3 linked regions of the Arabidopsis thaliana genome follow. The protein of the gene in region 1 interacts with the protein of each later gene in a pairwise test. Each region holds a gene or a part of one and is shown in the gene's direction. Other genes may lie near its edges.

Region 1 (7,713 bases):
TTTTATTGAATTGGCGATAAGAAGATTATTTAGGAGAAAGAAACTGAGGGCAGAAGCAGACAAAACGAAAGAGGGACGGTTACATACAGTGGGAAAGAAGAGATGTGGATTGTTGTGCCTTCATAAATGTCTACTTGTGGAAGACTAAGCAGTAAGTTAAAAGAAACGTGAATGATTTCCCCTGAAACGATGGTTACACAACACTCCCTTATTCACTTGGTTTTCGGGTTAAAGTTAGAAAAATAAAAGAGGTGGCCCAGCTTTGGTGCATTGAGAGTAGCAGAGTTATTAAATGCTTCGCAGAATTGCAGTTGCACATTCACTCCCTTCTTCTTCTTAATCTCCTTACAGTTACAGACATTCTCTCACTTGCGTTCTTGTTTCTTTTACAAAACAGATACACTATGTTTCCGAGAGAGTCCCTCTGATATTGGCCTGGTTCACTCAGATTCTCTTTTACTAACTCATCTGATTGAGCCGTGTCAATATCTCAGTCCTCTCTCGTCGCTTCTCTCGTATTTTGAAGTTTGCCTCGTTAGGTCACACCACTTGTTTTGTACACACGATCGAGTTGTTGATATGGTGTTGTTGTCTTTGTGTACTCATCGATCACTCAATATATACACATATATTGTCTGTTGCCAAGAACAGATGGACCTTTAAGGTAACAATCTTGTAGATATAATCGTTGATCGGATGCTCCTTTCTCCTTTCTAATTGATTTTTTTTTTAAACTATATATATAGAGATTTCGATGCAATCAACACACACTCGTATTTTTATATATTTTAAAAAGATGCGATGAGCCCCTCCCTCCAAGCTATCACATCAGACAGCAAAGAGAAAGGAGGGTCATTTATTGATGATTACATGCGGAAAGGATGCATTATTGAAGAAGAAGGAGACGAAGAGATAAGGAAAGATGTTTGGTGAATGGTGAGTCATCAAGCCTTTGTAGGAAGGCCATTCTTGGCCCAGGCACTATAGCCACCGACGATATCTTTGACTCCCGTGAAACCCTGCAAATTCGCAAATTATATATCACCAACAAAGTAAAAGTCAGAAAGAAGAGCTTTGTGGTGGAGCTTACTGCATGGAGAAGATCGGTGGTGGCTTTGATAGATCTACCACCGCTCTGGCAGCCAACAATGATGTTATCGGATTGTCCGAAATGGGAGGAGACTTGTTCCAGGAAGTCGGGGTTCTTTGACATCCCTGTTTCACAATCACAAAATTATATCCATCACTCAGTTATCAACTAACCAAATAAAAACATACCTGATGCTCCTCGATTCATGTAAGGCACGTTGATCGCCCCACAGGCATGTCCCTGGCTGAACTCTTCTGGAGTCCTATATTCATCATCCCCATTACATCAAGATCCTAATGATGCTATGTTGATGATTGAAATAGTCAAAAGAGAAAGGTGGGGCGGTACCTGACGTCTAGATAGCGGTGGCCGGCTAGAAGAAGGTCGTGGGCGACTGTTACCGACACCGATGATGGGACTCTGCTCTCCTCCGCCATTTTTTTCAATGGCTTATTATTATATTTGACTGGACAAAGACTTCAATAATTTCATTTTATATAAATTAGTTGGGAAAGTGATTATAATTGGGCCATATATTACAAATACATAATGGGCCTAAGTTGCTGCTTTATGGGCTAAGCTGTTTTCGGACTGTCCTTCATATTTTCATATTACCATTCCAAAACGGCATCATTTTAGCTAACCTCGTCTTGGGTTTACTTGATGAATTTTCAAAAGGTTTAAGGCTTCTGAATGCAATTATTCATTAGTAAAACACCCTTTACACAATTCTTACCATTCTTCGTCAGTCGATCAGATCAACGTTTTACCGTCTCACTGATCGACGGGAAAGAGACGACGACGTTTTTAACCTTTGGGTTGAGATCCGATCCAATATTTCGAAATCGTGATTCCTTGTTTGTGACCTCTCTCTCTCTGCCTCCACACTCTTCTCTAATCCCTCACCTCAAGGTAAGCTTCTTCTCTGGCACTGATTACATTCAAATCTCTCTTCTCCTTGCGTTGCTTTTGCTGGTTTATTCGAATTTCACGACTTGACTCCTTTCTCTTTTGATTGTTGATTCAAATCCCGATTTTGCGCTTACTAGTTGTCGTCGCTCTCTTGAGTGTCTGGGTTCATCTTTCTGACATCTGCTCTGCCAAGATGTCCGAAGACAAGGAATCTGATGTGGTTGGAGAAGAAGAGGAGAGCCATGTGATCAAAGAAGATAAAGAGTTAAATGATGCCTCCAACGAGACTCTGACAGAAAATGGTGATCAGCTACTCCAAATGATTGCTGAACTGAGATTAGAAAATGACTTTCTCAGATCCCAATTTGAGGGACTCAAGGATGAGGTAGCGCAAGGTAGGTCTCTCCAGAAAGCTGAGCAAGTGGAAGCGGACTCTGCTCAGCTGAAACAACTTCAAGAACAGGTCGCATCATTGAGCAGAGAAATTGATGTGGAAAAACAAACTCGAGTTGCAGCTGAGCAAGCTCTTGAGCATCTAAGGGAAGCATACTCTGAGGCTGATGCTAAATCCCAAGAATACTCCTCTAAGTTTTCCCAAGGTCAGAAGCCATCTTTTCTATTTGCTCATTCATTGACCGGAACCAGTGTTTGCCTTTTCTCAACTTGTGCTATTACATTGTTGGTGTAGTTGAACAGAAACTGGACCAGGAAATCAAAGAGCGCGACGAGAAATATGCCGACCTGGACGCCAAATTCACCAGGCTTCACAAAAGGGCTAAACAACGCATTCAAGAAATCCAAAAGGTGAATGTCTTTCTCTACATTTTATAATGCTTTCTGTTTTAGCCACTTTGAGGCTACTGTGAGTTTCAAAAACCATCTTATACTATTTCGGAATTTCTATGCTGCATTTTCAGACATATAGATTTCGCTGCTATGTGCTGTCTTAATCTCAGTGGTATATTATATTGCTATCTTCAGGAAAAAGATGATCTCGACGCCCGTTTCCGGGAAGTGAATGAAACAGCTGAACGAGCATCTTCTCAACACTCATCCATGCAACAAGAGCTGGAACGCACTAGGCAACAGGCGAATGAAGCACTTAAAGCAATGGATGCGGAGAGGCAACAACTAAGGAGTGCCAATAACAAGTAAATAATTCGAAGATAATTTTTACAGAAATTGTATAAAATGAATGTCGCCTTTCCCACTTCTCCAGCTACCTCTAAGAATTTGAGTACTGGAGTTTTCTCTTTACACAGGCTCAGGGATACTATCGAGGAACTACGTGGCTCATTGCAGCCTAAAGAAAATAAGATTGAGACATTGCAACAGTCACTTCTTGATAAGGACCAGGTTTGATCTCTTTCATTTTCTGTAATACTAGTCTGCAATATATAGAAAAATAGAGAGACAAAAGAGACAGAGAGAGAGAGAGAGAGGGGGGGGGGGGGGGGGGGGGGAGGGATGGCTCTGTATACTCTGCTTCATATGCGTACTTGCTTTAATCCTAGATTCTGGAGGACCTGAAAAAGCAATTACAAGCTGTGGAAGAGAGAAAGCAAATTGCAGTTACTGAGTTGTCAGCCAAGCATCAAAAGGTAGTCAGCATCAGCGATTGTGTTACTTCTTATATGCTATGAGCCACCATTTTCCGCTAATGACATCCAAGGTTTTCTCTTCTCTCCACCTTCTTGACAGAACTTAGAGGGTTTGGAAGCACAGGTCGTAGATGCTCTATCTGAGAGGGACAAAGCAGCCGAAACCATTTCGTCGCTGCAGGTTAGTCTTTTGACTAAATTCTTTAGTTCTATTACTGGATGATGTGCTTTGGTTTTCAAATGAGCGAGAGAGAATAGTTTGAAATAAGTGATAAATTCTTCACACCAAGTATACACCTCTTTTAGGTACTGCTTGCAGAGAAGGAATCTAAAATTGCAGAGATGGAGGCAGCTGCAACTGGCGAAGCAGCAAGGCTAAGGGCTGCTGCAGAAACTCTTAAAGGAGAGCTTGCACACCTTAAATCAGAGAATGTAAGTGGAATGTTTAAAGATGGATTCGCAGGACTCTCTGATGCCAACTGTCATTTGTCCTTCGTTATTGTTGCCCATTCGTATATTCTAAGACATTGTTTTGCATACTACTCGTCAAATGATTTCCATCATTTAGCAGATTTACTAGCATGGTTTTAACCAGGGAATGAATATAGGAGTGCGTATAGATAATTGTAAACATGATCTAAGGCGTCAGTCTGTCATCAGACAGCATGTTTAGAGTTTCTATTTGTTTGGCCATATAAATTCCTCTATTTTCTTTTGTTGTAATTCATAGAAGCCATGATTTTTTTTTGTTCCTTTAGGAAAAGGAAAAGGAGACTTGGGAAGCTTCATGCGATGCCCTTAAATCTAAACTGGAAATCGCTGAAAGCAACTACTTACAGGCCGAAATCGAAGTGGCTAAAATGAGAAGTAATTGACGGAGTTCATAAACGTTGAACTAATCTAGTTATGTTTTACTTTTGTCTATGGACTATAGACATTTCATTCATATAAATTGTCAGGTCAGCTGGGATCTGAAATGTCCATGCAGACCCAGATACTAAGCACAAAAGATGCGGAACTCAAAGGTGCAAGAGAAGAGGTACATAGTTTTCTTTTGGTTCTTTTGGAAACTATTGTAGCCTTGGTTAGGTGAACGAATTTATTAGTCATCCATTCTTAATCACATAACGTGAATTATTATGGAATCAAAGAGCCATTTTGAGCTTTAAGGAATGTTCTGCTTTAGCTAGTCTTCATTTAACCATATTGAATTCCTTGTAACTGTTCACAGATCAACCGGCTCCAAAGTGAATTCTCTTCTTACAAGATCCGTGCTCACGCGCTTTTGCAAAAGAAGGACATGGAGCTGGCTGCAGCTAAAGACTCTGAACAAATTAAATCTCTTGAGGAAGCTCTAAAGGTAAGTTATCTAGAATCTTAAGATGGAGATATTTTTAGATGGTTGCCAAGGTGCTTACCAACTAATTATCTTTTTGGGTGGTGTTAGGAAGCTGAAAAAGAAGTATATTTGGTATCTGCAGAGAGGGATAGGGCACAGCAAGATCTTCAGAGTGCTTTGGCTAGCCTTGAGAAAGAACTTGAAGAGAGGTATATATTGACACTGAATCTTTTTCATGTTTGATTCCGGAGGTTGGCTGCTCATTCTCCTCAATTTGCCAGAGAAAACAACTGAGAAATGGTGTTCTCAGGGGACTGGTTATGGAGTTCTTCAGACATATATTGGTCGTCTGAGCTATTTTTGTTTCATATATATTTCAGAGCTGGAGCACTTAAAGATGCCAGCGAGCAGATCAAAAGTCTTGAAGTGAAGCTTGACTCCACTGTTGCTCGCAATCAGGCGGAGAAACAAGCTTGGGAAGAAGACCTTCGGGTTTTAGAAGAAACATGGCGACGTAATTGATTCAAATCTAAATTCGGTTTTTTCATTAGTTCTTGGAAATTGAAATTCCCTTCCTAAAAGGCTACAGTAATCTATAGGAAGATGTGAAGCTTTGACCGCTCAAAATGAAGCCTCACCTGCAGAAGGTATAGAAAAAGAACTAGAAAATGCCAAACTGCGGAATAAACGAATGAAGGTAAATCACTTTTTGTTATACTCATAAAAAAGTTTTTTTGTCTAACTGACATACCTGCAGGAGGAGCATGAATCAGTACGTGAGCTTGCAGATAGACTCATTGAGGAGAAGGATCGAGAGATATCGAGACTTGTGGATGAGATGACAAATCTTCGAAAATCTATGGAGTCAAAACCAGTAGTATGTGGATGGTTCTTTTTTTTTTTTTTTTTGCTTATTACCTTACTTCTCCTTTTTATCTTTGGTTTTACGCTAGTAACTTTTCATTTAATTTGCACTGAAACTTTTCACTCTTCATGTGGCATTAAGTGGAACAAATCTCCATCCCAGGTTCACCACTATGGGAACAACAACACAGGTACAAGATGTTTTCCTGATACCATATTTTTTTAATAAGGGCTCCCTATATGAATGAATCAGTGGGTTCCCTGTCATCAATAACCTATTATTTTCTTTAAACGGGGTTTCAGAGTCACAACAGCAGGATGTATCTAACTTGAGCACTTCTGCAGCAGAGCACCAGATTCTGGTAGGATTTTGTAATGTTAGCTGTCTGCTTGTGTGAGCAAGGAGCGATCTTTAATCCTAGAACTTAATTTCCTTCAAATGTAATGCTATGGCCTACGGGACAAATCAGTGAGAGCTAATCATGACACATAATAATCAAATTTCAGATATTGGCAAGGCAACAAGCTCAGAGAGAAGAAGAGTTAGCACAGACACAGCGCCATATTTTAGCTCTTCAGGTGTAGTAGAATTGGTTGCATTGATCTGTTTCTGCACATGTTGCAATTAGTAACTGTTTATTCTGAATCAGGAGGAAATCGAGGAGCTTGAACGAGAAAACCGTCTTCACAGTCAACAGGTATGTGATTACACGAGAGTTTGGTTGCTTTGCCAGTTTCTTAGGATCTTATTTCAAACTTCCGGTGGTATGCTAAATTACAGGAAGCAGTGCTAAAGACGGAGTTGAGGGAGATGGAAAGAAAACAGAAGAGAGAAGGCGTGGATATGACATACCTAAAGAATGTGATATTAAAACTGCTAGAAACAGGTTAAAAAACCTGGAGATTAAAGGTGGATTCACGAAGTAGATGTTTTAGGGGTAAATTAACTTGTGATAATTGCAGGTGAAGTGGAGGCTTTACTACCTGTAGTGGGGATGTTGCTGCAGTTCAGTCCAGAGGAGATCCAGAAGTGTCAGCAAGCCTACCATAGCTCAACAACAGCGGCAACAACAACAGAGGCGACTCCAAGTCCGGCAAGTGAGGGTTCAGGTCTATCAGTCTTCTCAAGATTCTCGTTTTCATAGTCGGGTGGGCACTGGACACATTCTTTTGGGCCAAGATACATACACATACATACGACATTGTGTTTAAGTCCTTCGTTTTTGTGTAATGAACACTAAAAGTCAAGAAAACACTTTTTGTCCAGATGTAAAGAAAGGATAAGCCACTGAATTGAGTTGTTGGGCCATTTTTAATGGAGTCTATTGTAATCATGCAGAAAACCGCTGATTATCGGAATTAATGAAACTAAAAAAGTCAACGCAAAATTAACTACAAAGATAGTATAATAATAACGGTCGTCGACTTGTTGTTATTGGTCAACCGTTATGTACGGAATCAATTTGAACGGGTCTCACTCTCACTGCCTTGAAGGCCATTTTAATTGAGCGGAATTCATTTCGCCTACTAGTTTCAAATCTCGTAACGAAGAAGGTGATTGGTTCTTCTTCCTCTTGCTGGAAGCCATGGTGAGTAGGCTCAAGATACACTCTGGCTTGCGTTTGTGGGAATTCCCTGATCAGTACGTCATCGAGCCAACCGATGGTTCCTCCGCTTCATGTTTGGATATTAGTCGTCTTGACGGCTCCATGAAGCTCATTGGTGTGTTTCCTGTTTTTGCCTCGTTATATTGGAATCTTTTTGTTCTCTTATGCATGTATGTGTAATGCATCCTCTTGCCTGTCTCAGATCAAGTAGCAGAATGCAACTCTTTGCGTGTCCCTAAAATCCGCTCCATTTTCGGTGTGGTTGGGATGCTGAAGCTCCTGGCAGGTGAAATTTCAGAG
Region 2 (5,619 bases), on another chromosome or scaffold:
TTATTTTACAATCTATAACGTGATTATGACTAATCTCTCTTTATTAGTCTATATACTTATGAATGTGATATATCATAATGGAGCTACCTAGGTTTTAGTCAAAAACCTACAACACTCGGTTATCGGAGTACACTTTAATATTACGATTTATAAATTTGTTCTCCAAATATATGAGATTTCTCAGTTTTGATCATCATTGGCTATGTTATTAACAATGACCTTCACGACTTCACACGAACTTATGTGTACACATTGTTTTAATGTTTAGTTTTATTTTTCTTTGTGAAATATAGAGTTAAAGTAAATTTAAAATGACGATAGAGAATTATAAAACTTATTCTACAACGTGGAAGTTGATCATCCATGTGGTGTGGTGGTTTTATGATTTGTGTTTGGTTGAAGTTATTAATCTGGAATATGTGTGTGAGGTCAGATGACCCCCCAAAAAACATTGATAAAAGAATTGTGGAACTTTTTAAAATAACGAATCACGTAGTTTTGTCTTCCACTATGACTGAATTTATATGTTATAATAGTGATAAATGGATATCGCATAATACACGTGAAGTATGGGGAAAGAAAAACTTTCACACTATAGTACTACTATACAATCTTTGTGTGCAGATAACTGAATTCTAAATTGAAATATAAAAATACTCTATGCAATTACCAAAATATATGTCCCTTCTTATTGCTTGATAAAATGCGAATGGAGGTTTAACATTTTAGGCGATTCAGTTATTGGGTTTCTAATTGTAAGGCCCAAACTTTAGAGACCCATGAATAATATATAGATTTTAGTACGATGATACAAACCCATCAAACAAGTCAACAGTCCTAAGCATATGACGTTTTGTTGTGACTTATGACCGTAAAGGGGACCAGTTCCAATCATTTTCGTAGTAGGAATCTGCTGATAATAATTTTAATTATAATGTAATACGTCCCGATCTCGTGAAGTGAAAGTAATATTTTGAAACTGCAAATATCTCATTCTCCAATGTATTTTTCTATCTAAAATAATCAAAAACGGTAAAGTATTTCTTAGACATTCTTATAAACAAATATTTGTTACAAACTAATCTTTACATTAGTTTAAAATGATCCTCGATAAAGCCCAAGAAAAGATTTGGCAAGAACACAAATTTATTAGAAAAATGAACCCAACATGATAATGAGCCTCTGATTGTGTTGAAGTGTCCTCGTCGTTGTGTTTTCATTTTCATTAATACTCAATTAATAATCTCATGTGGACCATTTTTTATAAAATATTCCTGAAAAGTTGTACACTGATGCAAGCCAGCATCACAACCTTTTTGTGAGGATAGGACAGAAAATAAAATAAAAACTTAACAATTTGACGTTAATCGCTAATTAAATTCGATTATACTCAAACTCAGCAGCATCAAATCAAATATTAAACTGTTATTATACTCATAAATAATTATTATTATATTGTTATAGTCAACAAAACTGTTACTATTCAACCCTACCTATATAGTAAAATCCTTTTTCTATTTTTGTTTTTACCATAATTATATTTTTTAAAATTCCCATATATGTCACATAGAAAAATCTTAGCTGTTTACAAAAACGTATAACAAAGTAAATATAAAAATTTGTTAATTGTTAAACTTGAACCACTAATATAAGTTGGGTACTAGATATTGTTGAAAACCATATTGTAAGTTATAACTTATAACTAAACCAATCCAAATAGAAACAAACATTAGAGAAATGATTAAAAAAAGGTCATAAATAACACATATGAGTTGGATTATTAATGTTAATTGATTGATTTAATCTGGAAACCTACTGTCTTGCTTCGCGTGAACACTACGCGCCTCCCAAAAACAAAGATGCCAAAACAAGAAACAACCTGCGGACCTCAAATCTCATAACCCACGCGCCGATATCACGCGCCGAACCAGCGCACTGTAGTGTGAAATATCCACAGTTTTAAATTTCGTCTTCTCTCTCTCTCAAACTATTTCTCTCACCTTCCTCCGACGATTTCTCCTTTGACAGTTCAGTCTTATCTCTCGCAAGGATCGGAGATATAGAGAGATACATAGAACCGTCTCGTAGCTCTCTTCCGCCGTCAATTTGAGGTTTCCGGGGAGAGAATTGTAGAAATGAAGGAATAATTGGAGAAGATTATTATCACCTCGCTGGAGATTCTATTTTGTTGAAGTGTGATTGATTATTAGGGGTTTTGGTTGTGAAGAGAAAATGCCAGGTCATAGATCCAAGTCGGAGAAGAAGGATGCTGATAAGCAGCTCCGTCGGGATCCTTATGAGGTTTTAGGAGTCTTAAGGAACTCTACCGATCAGGAAATTAAGAGCGCTTACCGGAAATTGGCTCTCAAGTAAGTTTAATTTGGTTTCTTATGTCTCTCCTAGAGTCCTAGTTTGAAATTTGAAATTTGCAATTCGAAAAGCTGTGTTAATTTTAGGGTTAGGCTATGAAGAAGAACCTTGAATTGAGTCAATTTAGGTTACCGATAAGTCTGGGAATTAGTCAATGACTACTTGTTAATCTGTGATTTGTTTAGCTAAGCCTAATCCGAATTACATTAGGGAAGGTGATGGTTTGGTCTAGGGTAATTACAAATCCTCTGCACAAGCTCTCTCTTTGTTTTTTATAGTCCCTAATTAATGTTTTGTGTTGCAGGTACCATCCGGATAAGACTGCAAATGATCCGGTTGCAGCTGACATGTTTAAGGAGGTCACGTTTTCTTACAACATCTTATCTGATCCGGAGAAACGTCGCCAGTTTGATTCAGCTGGTTTTGAGGTGAGATTTGTTTTGCATTGTGGGATTGTAGATTTACTCTGACCTCTATGTGTGGCAAGAGTTAATTTTTTGTGTGTGTGTCTTCTGTTGAATTATAGTTATCATGCTGTATTAGTCTAGGTTAAGATGCTGTTTAGGCTCTTATAGGACCCTGGTCTCTAGAAAATACTGCTTTTCTGTAGGGACGTTCTTAATCTGTGGTGTGCTTCGAAATTCTTTTAGCAGCTAATACTACGCTAGCATCAACTTTAAGACTTTGCTAATTGCAACGCGCTTCTCTTTCACAGGCTGTTGAAGCAGAAAGCCAAGAGCTGGAGCTAGATCTCTCAAGTTTAGGAGCTGTGAATACTGTGTTTGCAGCTTTGTTTAGGTTTGTTTCTTTTGATTTAGACTTCTGTTCGTTTCCTAAGCCCCCTTTTATGCAAGCTGAGTATATGTTCTGAAACTTCCGATGAATTAGCAAACTTGGTGTGCCGATAAAAACATCTGTATCTGCAACTATATTGGAGGAGGCTCTTAATGGCAGAGTTTCAGTTGATCCTCTTGTACTTGGACAAGCTGTGTCTAAAAAGGTGTGTTGTTTTTAGCGGATGCCTAGTAATGATCTCATCTGTGTATGTAATGAGTGTCTGTCTCCATATAAGTCTCATATATGCCATGGTTCTTACAGGTTGAAAAGCAATGTGCACACTTTTATGCTGTCACAATATCAGAAGAGGAAGTAAGTGCTGGGTTGGTCTGCAGAGTAGAATCATCTAGCAAAAGCAAATTCAAGGTTGGTTCGGGCAGAGTCTTTCCTGTCAAACTGGTATGGAAGTACCAAAGTATAATGAACTAACGTGTGTGTCTGCTTGTGCAGCTACTGTATTTTGATCAAGAGGCCAACAGCGGATTAAGCCTAGCCCTGCAGGTATTGTTGTTATCAATTGAAGTGAAAACAGTGTTTTTCAGAGGGTTTTCATATATCATATAAATATAAGTAACTCAAATGGTTGTTTTCTTCTTGTACATTGAATTCTACGTGGATACAGGAGGACAGCAAAAGAACGGGTAAGATAACATCTGCCGGAATGTACTTTCTCGGTTTCCCTGTCTACCGGTTGGATCACACAATTAATTCAGTAGGTTCACTTCACTATGTTCTAAATTTACTTCACCTCATTCTGGTGGATGAGTTTCTTTTTCCCAACAAGACTTCATTTTTTTTGCTCTAGATGGCTCAAGCAAAAGATCCAGAAACTGCCTTCTTTAAAAAGCTTGATGGTTTTCAGCAATGTGAGGTAACCGAGCTAAAGGCCGGCACGCATGTCTTTGCTGTCTATGGTCAGTTTTCCTGGTTTATTATCTGATTACAAATTCATTTATCTTCTCCCTTTTATATCTGTCTGGATTCAGTATTCGATTCAACTTGGTGATCATCTGATGACATTTTCCTTTGTTCAGGTGATAACTTTTTTAAAAATGTGAGCTACACAATCCAAGTCCTGTGTGCTGCCGCTTTTACGCAAGAAAAAGAAGACCTCAGGTCTGTAGAAGCTCAGATACTCACTAAAAGAGCAGAGCTGGCAAAGTTTGAGACAGAGTACAGGGAAGTACTTGTGCAGTTCACCGATATGACCAGTCGATACGCTCAAGAAATGCAATCGGTTAGTCTTTTATTCATGAAAGTTTATAAATTTCAAACCACCATTCACAGAAAACGAAGAGAAGATGTGTCATGACTGAGTAAATTAGACCAGATTCTATGTGTAAGTTTCTGAAATGGTTAGCTTAGTCTGATTATCTTATGGTCTTTTTGCAGATCGATGAGCTCTTAAAGCAGAGAAATGAAATTCACTCAGCATACACGACGATTCCATTGATGAAGCGGAGCTCGAGCAAGAACAGGATGAGAAAGAGCTCATTCAAGAAGGCGGCGGCTAAGGCGCCTGCTCCAACTGAACAGGAAGAAGAGGAAGAGGAAGAGGAAGAAGAAGAGGAAGAAAGCAGCAGACAGAAGAACAAGAAACCAAGTACTTGTGATAAGTCCGAGACACTAAAGAAGAAGAGCAAATGGTTCAATTTACATTTGAAATTGGACAAGAAAAAACCTTGTTAGTTTCTTCATCACTTTTATCAAAGAAAAAGATTCTTATCCATTATTTTTCTCCCTTACCTTAGGGATCGGTGTATCTGTAAATCTTTTGCTATTTTTCTCCTTCAACTTATCATTAGTATTAGTCAACAATTTTATTTTGATAATTGTTATCTGTCAAAGTTCTCTTAAACATATTGTGCCCTATTGAACCCGAGATCACATATGACAAATGGATCGCAAGTATGGAAATTTTGTGATATCCAATTTTGTAACAGATTATTCAATTTGACACATGCAAAAATTTAGATAACACATATTGATGGCACAAAAAATTTCACGAGAGATTTTTTTTTTCCACCCGAAGGCATGAATCATGATTGCTACATTTTCAATTTCAATATATTAGCAACTCAATATCACAAGACCAAATTCACTAGTCACTACCAAATAAATTTTGAATGTGTGTTAAAAGGGGTAATCCTAATTTATCCCTTGTAGTCATTGTATTGATCACACCGCCTTCTTACTTCTCCAAGCTTCCCCGTCTTCACATTCTTCTCACTAACTTTCTCCATAGCCTTCGCAAACGCGTCAAAGAACGCCGTTTCGTCCTCCGCGTAAAGATCCACCAGCGAGCGCGTCCTGTTGTCAAACGCAATCGCGTGATCGGACTGGAGCAACCCGTAACCGTGCTTCAAATTCTTGTAATACATATTATCAAATTTCCCTGGAGTAAAAACGTCA
Region 3 (7,951 bases), on another chromosome or scaffold:
AAGGAAATGAATGCTCTTTATGGGTTTGCCTCCAACCCCTTTCCAATTCCTCCACCCTCTCTTTATTACTTACTTTCCTATTCACTATACGCATCTCCCTCTCTCTCTATATCCACCATATATACATTTTATAATGCCACCTGGACACATGTGTATGTGTATGTTGTTTTAATATTTGACAAAATTTGAAATTTTGATCATCTTATTGTATCACGGGCACGTCAAGATTTCAAACATTGATTCATATTATCGTATGCATACACCATGACATATTATTGCAAGATATATCTCAACAGTTACATTGTTAACAATATAGATATAGTAGCTTAAACCGTCCGTATAATACGTACGTAAATGGACGAAGACGTATAGTGAAGGAAACTTAGGTCTTTAATAAGATATATAATGGTATAACTGTAGCAGATGATTTATCTACAATTCAAAAGCTTTATCAGTTTCTTTTGTTTTTTTCTTTGTTAGTCGTCGTACGGCCTAGGGAATTGTTAGTTAGGAAAGGTAGATACATAATGTATAGAGAGGGAAGCAACCATAAACATTTACATTCACCACATGCTCTTAAATAATTAATTAATGCCTCCTAACCTCTCCTTTTGCTCTATCTATCTACTTTAATTAATTACTTGAATATATGCTGCCTATAGAGATTCCTTTTTCTTTCTTCCATTCATTCCTTTTGGCTACTGACTCTCTCTCTCTTTTTTGCTCTCGATTAATACTTCTACTTAATTAGGGTTTTGGGTAAAAAAATTCGCCCTTTTCACCATTAATCTATTACCCGTGTTGGCAAACTTCCAAGACCAGTCTTCTTTCTTTTTTGGCTTTTCTTATTGAGGGCCAATGAAAGCAACTAATTAATTTTTAAAGTAGGGTCTATCAAAATTAATTAAGACAACCCTTAAGTTGATTCCAAGATGCAGAAACTGACCATATATCTTTTCTTTTATCTCAACAAGTGACGACGATCCCTTTTAATTCACGTCCTTACAAATAACTATCTAGAAAGAGAACTGACCCACCAAAAATGGAATATGGTGATGATCTCACGCTAAAAGCAAACGTGTTTATACAAATGTGACATCGAGTGTGCACACGTACGTGTGAAGAGGGAATGATGGCATAGGAGATTGCGCCAGATAAAGACAGTGAGGACAACTAACTCCATATACTAACTTATATATAATTAATACAATGCATTTTGATATTCACTTTTTGTACAAAGGAAATGATACCATACGAGTCGTACGTTGCTAATATTCTTGGTACCTCCAAGTCCAACCGCAAAACAAAAGATGGATAGTTAGTTGGAGAGGATCAGCTGATGAAAACCAAAAGACACAGTTGTGAGAGAGCTACTAGCTAGTGAGTACCACATATATACGTATATTGGGATATATATATACCTTGAATCTTACACATTTTGCTTACATCTAAAATAGAAAATGAACCAGTAATTAGTTTTTGTTTGGATCCATAAATATCACATATATTACTTAATTATTTCATATAATTTATCACTCAAATTACATTTCTGTATACCAGTTGTAGTATTTTAATGAATAACTCTACTAGTAAATTGTAACATTCAAACAGAAATAAAAATGAAAAATGTAAATGTAAAGATATAATCGTGATCTGAAATAGGATGGTTTACAATACGTAAGAGAATACGAATGTACATCATGAGTATCAAAACAAATCAAGATTCATACCAAAAGGAAGAGAAAAAACATATCAACATATGCATAGGTTAGCGTCTTAGCGAGCGTGCGGAACCGAGGGTGCCTTGGTTTGCTGGCCCCAAAATGGGTGGGCTTTTAGGGGCCCAATATTGTTACTTACAGAGGCTAAAATGGATCCTACTGTTTTCCCTTTACAAAAACGGAGACAGGCCTTGTATATAAAAAATTCAGACCAAAGCCGCTTAGAATGAAGTAAATGATATCAAGACAGAACGTTTTTCTAATCCGCGAAACGACGCCGTTTGTACCGCCGGTGGCCGAGGGAAAAAAAAGGATTTGGATTTTGTTGGATCTAAAAAAACATAAAACACATAGGGGTGGGTCTCTCTCCTCCGGAATTCGATCACGACGGCAAGGACGACGCATCTCCTTCTCGTAAGCCATTGATGATCCCAATAGATAGCTCTATTCTGCTTTATCCAATCGCCTCGTCTTAATAATTGATTCAGTGATGTAATTGGGATCTAAACTCGATTGGTTGATTGTTTTCCTTGGAAGCCACAGGGCTGGAGATGGATCTGGTCCGGTGATTTCTGAGATTTAAGTCGATCGAGTTTCCAGATATATCTCTCAAGTAGAGATGGCTTGGTTCAGTGGCAAAGTTTCTCTGGGAGGATTCCCAGATCTCACTGGCGCTGTCAATAAATTCCAGGAGAGCGTTAAAAACATTGAAAAGAATTTCGACAACGCCCTTGGCTTCGACGACAAGTCCGATTCTGCCGCTGAAGGTGTTCTCTTCTTCTCACTTTTTTTCCAATCAATACACATAATATTATCATCCTTCCCAATAATCTGCTGTTAGTCAGCTGGGAATATAGGATTTGATTACTCAAGGCGCATTTGTTGATAGGACCTGCCATTTTTCTTCTTCTTCTTTATGTAGGATGTTTAGATCAATAATCTGCTGTTGCAATAATACAATCTTGCAAGTTATGGGATTCTGTCTTATTTTTCTTAGAACTAGCTTAGCTAGTGTGCTTCAGATTCTACCCATTGCATTTTATTCTGAATTTGAAAAAAACACTTTGTTTTGGATCTTTGCGTTTACTTGGTGACAGCTTTTTCTGGCTATGATTTCAGGGGTATTCTGTGTTTACCTAACTGTAGCACAAATCATTTTCTTCTCTAGTTTGTCTTGAGTTTCTTGTACCTTTCACAACAAAAATCCTTTTGTTCTTTCTTTTTAGATGCAGCTTCAAGTATGTGGCCACCTGCAGTTGATACCAAAAGCCTCTTTGATCCCGTTATGTCCTTCATGGGTAACACCTCTGATGAGAAACCTGATACATTGGAAGACTCTGTGCGTACAGAAAATCCGTCTCAAATTGAACAAAAAGAAGAAGAAGCTGGATCGGTTAAGCTAGCTACTGAACAAGCAGTATCTGTTGAAGCAAATAAAGAAACAAACGTGAGAAGAGAAGCTGATCAAGCAGATAATCCTGAGGTAACAGAAACTGTTGTTTTGGATCCCAAAGATGATGAACCGCAATCGCAGATACTTCTCGAAGAGTCCTCTGAATATTCTCTTCAGACTCCTGAATCCTCAGGTTACAAGACTAGTCTTCAACCTAATGAAAAGCTGGAAATGACAGCTTCTCAAGATTCACAGCCCGAGCAACCCAAGTCAGAGGCTGAGGAATCACAGCCTGAGGATTCTGAAGCAAAAGAGGTTACTGTAGAAAACAAAGACACTGTTCACTCCCCTGTGTTAGATGGACAGCATAAGATTACTTATATGGATGAGACAACAAATGAACAAGAAATTCTGGGTGAAAATCTGGAAGGGAGAACCTCGTCTAAAAATTTTGAAGTTTCACCAGATATCAATCATGTAAATAGGATAGAGTCCCCTGTTGCTCATCCGTCTTTAATTTTTGAGTCTGATGGTTCTCCTTACGAGTCTTCTATACCAAAGAGATCGTCGTCAGATGAAATTTCGGAGAGAATTGTGGATTTTGTTTCTCGTGAAATAGATTCAAGACTGGATACTAGTGAGTTAAATGAAAGCCAGCGTTCAAGCTCTGCGACAAATGTTTCCGACTCTGCTGATGTTATTCTGGAATTAGAGAAGACCAAAAAGGAAATAAAAATGTTGGAAAATGCCCTGCAAGGTGCTGCAAGGCAAGCTCAGGTACATCTTTAGATCCTCATGAAAGGTTTTGCTACGGATATGGTGCTTCTATACCAATTTTCTGGGGATTTGTTTACAGGCAAAGGCTGATGAGATTGCGAAGTTGATGCATGAAAATGAGCAGCTAAAATCTGTCACTGAGGATTTGAAGGTACAATAGAGTATGCGGAATATGGGATATTAGATGAAGGATTACTTTTTTCCCCAGTCTTCCGCCCATCTTCCTTTCATTTGGAATGATTTTGAATCTACATTCTAATAACCTCTGCTCTGGAACAGAGGAAATCTAACGAAGCTGAAGTCGAGTCTTTGCGAGAAGAATACCATCAGAGAGTTGCAACTCTTGAGAGGAAGGTATTATATCTTTTATCATTCTTCTCTTTCAATTCTCTTCTTTTCATTATATATATATATGCCTTCACAGTGCTTATCTTTGTAGGTTTATGCTCTCACCAAAGAGCGGGATACACTTAGAAGAGAACAGAACAAGAAAAGTGATGCTGCGGCCCTTTTGAAAGAAAAGGATGAAATAATAAATCAAGTTATGGCTGAAGGTAAGACAGCCTTTTGGAATGCTTGAATTATGGATCGTATTTTTCTCGTTATAAAAAAATGGTGTTGAAAGCGAACACCTGAAAAATGAAAGGACGTCATTTCTTGCTCAGCTTGAGCTCTTGATATTAATGCTAATCATTTCAGGCGAAGAGCTTTCAAAGAAACAGGCTGCTCAAGAAGCTCAGATCAGGAAGCTAAGGGCTCAGGTATATATTCAACGCTATGTGTTTCATTTTTATCAATACCAACAGTCTCATGGCAATTCTTATTTGTACGAGGGTTAGATTAGAGAGGCAGAAGAAGAAAAGAAAGGACTGATCACAAAGCTTCAGGTAATTGATTTTTTTTTTTTTGTTTCATTAACCACGTCATTAAGGATGAAACTGCCTGAAGGGGTTTTCTTGATTTCCCAGAAGCTTTTGTGAAAGGCTGGTTTGAAAATCAGTCTTCTTGTAGGCAGGATTAATATCTAAATAACTAAAGCATTTGCAAAGTTTGTTAAGCTTCTTAGCTTCATTAATTTTTCCTTTCAATTGCCAGTCGGAAGAAAATAAGGTCGAAAGCATTAAAAGGGACAAGACAGCTACAGAAAAGCTGCTGCAAGAGACCATAGAAAAACATCAAGCTGAACTTACTTCTCAGAAAGACTATTACTCAAACGCATTAGCTGCAGCAAAGGAAGCTCAAGCGTTAGCTGAGGAGCGTACCAACAATGAAGCGAGGTCAGAGTTAGAGAATCGTCTAAAGGAGGCTGGAGAGCGGGAATCTATGCTAGTCCAGGCGCTGGAAGAATTGAGGCAAACCTTAAGCAAAAAGGAGCAACAGGTTTTGTCTTCCTCGATCAAATTTGGGATAGAGTACTACTGGGATCTCATCATTTTATTTATACTCACCTAGTCGGTGGGCTCTAATTTTTACAGGCAGTGTATAGGGAAGACATGTTCCGTGGAGAAATTGAGGACCTTCAAAGACGCTATCAGGTCAAATCAAGATGTTTCGTTGTCTCTATGCATATTTCTTTCTTTGGTTATCGCCTTTTGGTTACGTTTGAACCATAATTCTAGTTACTAATAGTTTGTTCTGTTTACTGTTTGCTAAACCAACCACTCTTATAGGCTAGTGAGCGAAGGTGTGAGGAATTAATCACACAGGTTCCTGAGTCTACAAGGCCTCTCCTAAGACAGATTGAGGCTATGCAGGTAAAAAATTGACCCATATGTTTTTTCTGAAAGAACTTCTCCTGAGATTAGAATCTTAAATTAAATTGTAACATTGCATGCCTCTTATCTGATTGGCGATAGGAAACTTCATATAGAACAGCAGAAGCTTGGGCTGCTGTAGAAAGAACTCTGAATTCTCGATTGCAGGTGTTATGAACAACACTGCTCTATGCTATATTCAGCCAATTATTTTTGTTTTCTCTATCTTTTTGTTCACTTTCTAGAAATATTCAGGAAGCAGAAAGTAAAGCTGCAACAGCTGAAGAACGAGAGCGCTCTGTGAATGAACGCCTCTCTCAAACATTATCAAGGATCAATGTTCTAGAGGCCCAGGTTTTCTATGCTTTTTGACACTGTTCTTCATCAATTTTCGCAGCTTTCTCTAAATTTTAGCTTACCCAGTTCTCCTATCCAGCTTTCATGTCTCAGAGCAGAACAGGGCCAGTTAAGCAAGTCACTTGAGAAAGAGAGGCAGAGAGCAGCAGAAAATAGACAGGAGTATCTGGCAGCTAAGGAGGAAGCAGATACCCTAGAAGGTCGAGCAAACCAACTTGAAGTTGAGATAAGGGAACTTCGGAGAAAACATAAGCAAGAGTTGCAGGAAGTGCTACTCCACAACGAGCTTATTCAAAAGGTTCTACATTGCTTTATGGACATAACTTAATCTAATAAGAGTTAGTCCCATGAAAAATGCCCCATCAGTTACGGAATTTAAAGGACTGAAGTACCTAGCGAATTCAATCAAAGTAGTGCTTTCCCAAACTTTTTCATCCTGAGTAGCTTCTATTAACAACCGAACTGTTCCAGTTTATTACTCTTCTTTATTGTCCAAGTAGTTTCTCAATATGGCCTATTTTTTTCAGGACCTAGAGAGGGAGAAGGCTTCACGTTTGGATCTTGAAAGAACGGCCCGTATCAATTCCTCGGCAGTCTCTGAACAGCTTCCTATAGCAAGGCAAAATTCTGCCTTTGAGAATGGTGATGCATCTAGATCTATACTACTGCTTAATAAGTCAGGCATTGCACATCTGTAATTCATTAACTATTGCATCAGGAAGCTTGCCTAGAAAGCTATCAAGCGCAAGCAGCCTTGGAAGCATGGAGGAGAGCTATTTTCTGCAAGCTTCTCTTGATTCTTCAGATAAATTTTCTGAGAAGCGAAGCATGCCTGAGGCAACTATGAGTCCGTACTACATGAAGAGCATCACACCGAGTGCTTATGAAGCCACACTTCGACAGAAAGAGGGTGAACTTGCTTCATACATGACCCGCTTGGTAGGTGTAGAAAATATCCAACTGGGACATTTTTGTGTAACTCTGTTGGTAGGCTTTTGGCAATTGGCTTAGTAATGGGATTGAGGTTGACATCAGTCCTTACAATGGGACACTATGGGTGTTTGGATCATGTTGAGAAATTATTGGTTAGTTGCACACCGTGGTTAGCCTTCTTTTATAAGCTGGTTTAGAAGGTTTAGCTCTACTCGTCGAGGTAGTATAGGCTGGTTGTTAGTATCATCGTTATCTGTAGAATCTAACTGTAAGAGTCTATTTGCCTTTGGACAGGCATCAATGGAGTCTATCCGAGATTCCCTGGCTGAAGAACTAGTCAAAATGACAGCAGAGGTATGTATAGCGCTGAGAGTTTAGAGTTGATATTATGCTCAGTGTTATGATGATATTTCGTCTATATCTGGTAACTGTGGATGTAGTGTGAGAAGCTACGGGGGGAGGCAGATAGGGTCCCGGGCATAAAGGCAGAGCTGGAAGCACTAAGGCAAAGACACGCGGCTGCTCTGGAATTGATGGGTGAACGAGATGAGGAGGTAAGATATGTGAATAAAATAGTAGTGTATCCAGCATTAACAACAGTAGTTGGCATTGAGTTAATAAAAAAGTGGGTTTGGGTGGTAGTTGGAGGAACTTCGAGCGGATATAGTGGACTTGAAGGAGATGTACAGGGAGCAAGTGAACATGCTGGTGAACAAGGTAAGGCAAACAGACACAAGTGGAGTCAAAGTGTTGACAAACTCAGGCTAATGGGTTTGTGCAATTTTGGGTTTGCAGATCCAATGAGGGGCAAGGGAAGATGGTGTTGGCAAGCTCAGGCTCACGAGTAGGACCACCTAATCCTTGTTTCCCCAATATTGTATAGCTCTATAAGCTACCAACCTAAGCCCACTATATTCATTTGTCGTTTTGTCTCTCAGGTGTTGGTTGAACTTGAGGCTTTTTAAAACAAACTTTTGCTGCTCGAAAGAAGATTTTTCTTACAGTGAATTCGATCG

The links. Proteins that work in one complex are often made in the same cells at the same time.
Region 2: the proteins of ATGRIP (region 1) and ARL1 come close enough for resonance energy transfer, tested with the Arabidopsis thaliana proteins (one study listed by BioGRID).
Region 3: the proteins of ATGRIP (region 1) and GC5 come close enough for resonance energy transfer, tested with the Arabidopsis thaliana proteins (one study listed by BioGRID).

What each region holds. Positions count from the first base shown.
Region 1 is NC_003076.8:26,404,371-26,412,083, reverse strand, and holds ATGRIP (Golgi-localized GRIP domain-containing protein), read left to right. Parts: upstream 1-1,728; 5' UTR 1,729-2,002; intron 2,003-2,139; 5' UTR 2,140-2,195; coding exon 2,196-2,601; intron 2,602-2,690; coding exon 2,691-2,806; intron 2,807-2,983; coding exon 2,984-3,153; intron 3,154-3,264; coding exon 3,265-3,358; intron 3,359-3,516; coding exon 3,517-3,603; intron 3,604-3,703; coding exon 3,704-3,784; intron 3,785-3,909; coding exon 3,910-4,035; intron 4,036-4,361; coding exon 4,362-4,470; intron 4,471-4,562; coding exon 4,563-4,642; intron 4,643-4,834; coding exon 4,835-4,963; intron 4,964-5,050; coding exon 5,051-5,151; intron 5,152-5,322; coding exon 5,323-5,456; intron 5,457-5,541; coding exon 5,542-5,639; intron 5,640-5,699; coding exon 5,700-5,819; intron 5,820-5,948; coding exon 5,949-5,997; intron 5,998-6,109; coding exon 6,110-6,168; intron 6,169-6,313; coding exon 6,314-6,385; coding exon of another isoform or gene 6,386-6,391; exon of another isoform or gene 6,392-6,456; coding exon 6,457-6,504; and 7 more. Other genes in the region: STR16 (sulfurtransferase protein 16), read right to left, coding at 945-1,019, 1,091-1,215, 1,279-1,352, 1,439-1,527; ATSAC1B (Phosphoinositide phosphatase family protein), read left to right, coding at 7,393-7,528, 7,616-7,699. UniProt on the Arabidopsis thaliana protein: Golgi matrix protein playing a role in tethering of vesicles to Golgi membranes and in maintaining the overall structure of the Golgi apparatus.
Region 2 is NC_003070.9:8,528,560-8,534,178, reverse strand, and holds ARL1 (ARG1-like 1), read left to right. Parts: upstream 1-1,916; 5' UTR 1,917-2,232; coding exon 2,233-2,369; intron 2,370-2,674; coding exon 2,675-2,798; intron 2,799-3,085; coding exon 3,086-3,168; intron 3,169-3,258; coding exon 3,259-3,370; intron 3,371-3,468; coding exon 3,469-3,573; intron 3,574-3,657; coding exon 3,658-3,708; intron 3,709-3,829; coding exon 3,830-3,919; intron 3,920-4,012; coding exon 4,013-4,121; intron 4,122-4,241; coding exon 4,242-4,444; intron 4,445-4,599; coding exon 4,600-4,896; 3' UTR 4,897-5,115; downstream 5,116-5,619. Other genes in the region: AT1G24110 (Peroxidase superfamily protein), read right to left, coding at 5,361-5,619. UniProt on the Arabidopsis thaliana protein: Plays a continuous role in plant development probably in the structural organization of compartments. Seems to not be involved in gravitropism signaling pathway.
Region 3 is NC_003070.9:30,027,898-30,035,848, reverse strand, and holds the start of GC5 (golgin Putative 5), read left to right. Parts: upstream 1-1,947; 5' UTR 1,948-2,135; intron 2,136-2,258; 5' UTR 2,259-2,340; coding exon 2,341-2,488; intron 2,489-2,947; coding exon 2,948-3,891; intron 3,892-3,970; coding exon 3,971-4,042; intron 4,043-4,170; coding exon 4,171-4,245; intron 4,246-4,330; coding exon 4,331-4,445; intron 4,446-4,590; coding exon 4,591-4,652; intron 4,653-4,730; coding exon 4,731-4,778; intron 4,779-4,986; coding exon 4,987-5,271; intron 5,272-5,366; coding exon 5,367-5,486; intron 5,487-5,561; coding exon 5,562-5,645; intron 5,646-5,747; coding exon 5,748-5,813; intron 5,814-5,900; coding exon 5,901-5,999; intron 6,000-6,081; coding exon 6,082-6,300; intron 6,301-6,529; coding exon 6,530-6,644; intron 6,645-6,720; coding exon 6,721-6,941; intron 6,942-7,229; coding exon 7,230-7,289; intron 7,290-7,375; coding exon 7,376-7,489; intron 7,490-7,577; coding exon 7,578-7,652; coding exon of another isoform or gene 7,653-7,703; and 5 more. UniProt on the Arabidopsis thaliana protein: Golgi matrix protein playing a role in tethering of vesicles to Golgi membranes and in maintaining the overall structure of the Golgi apparatus.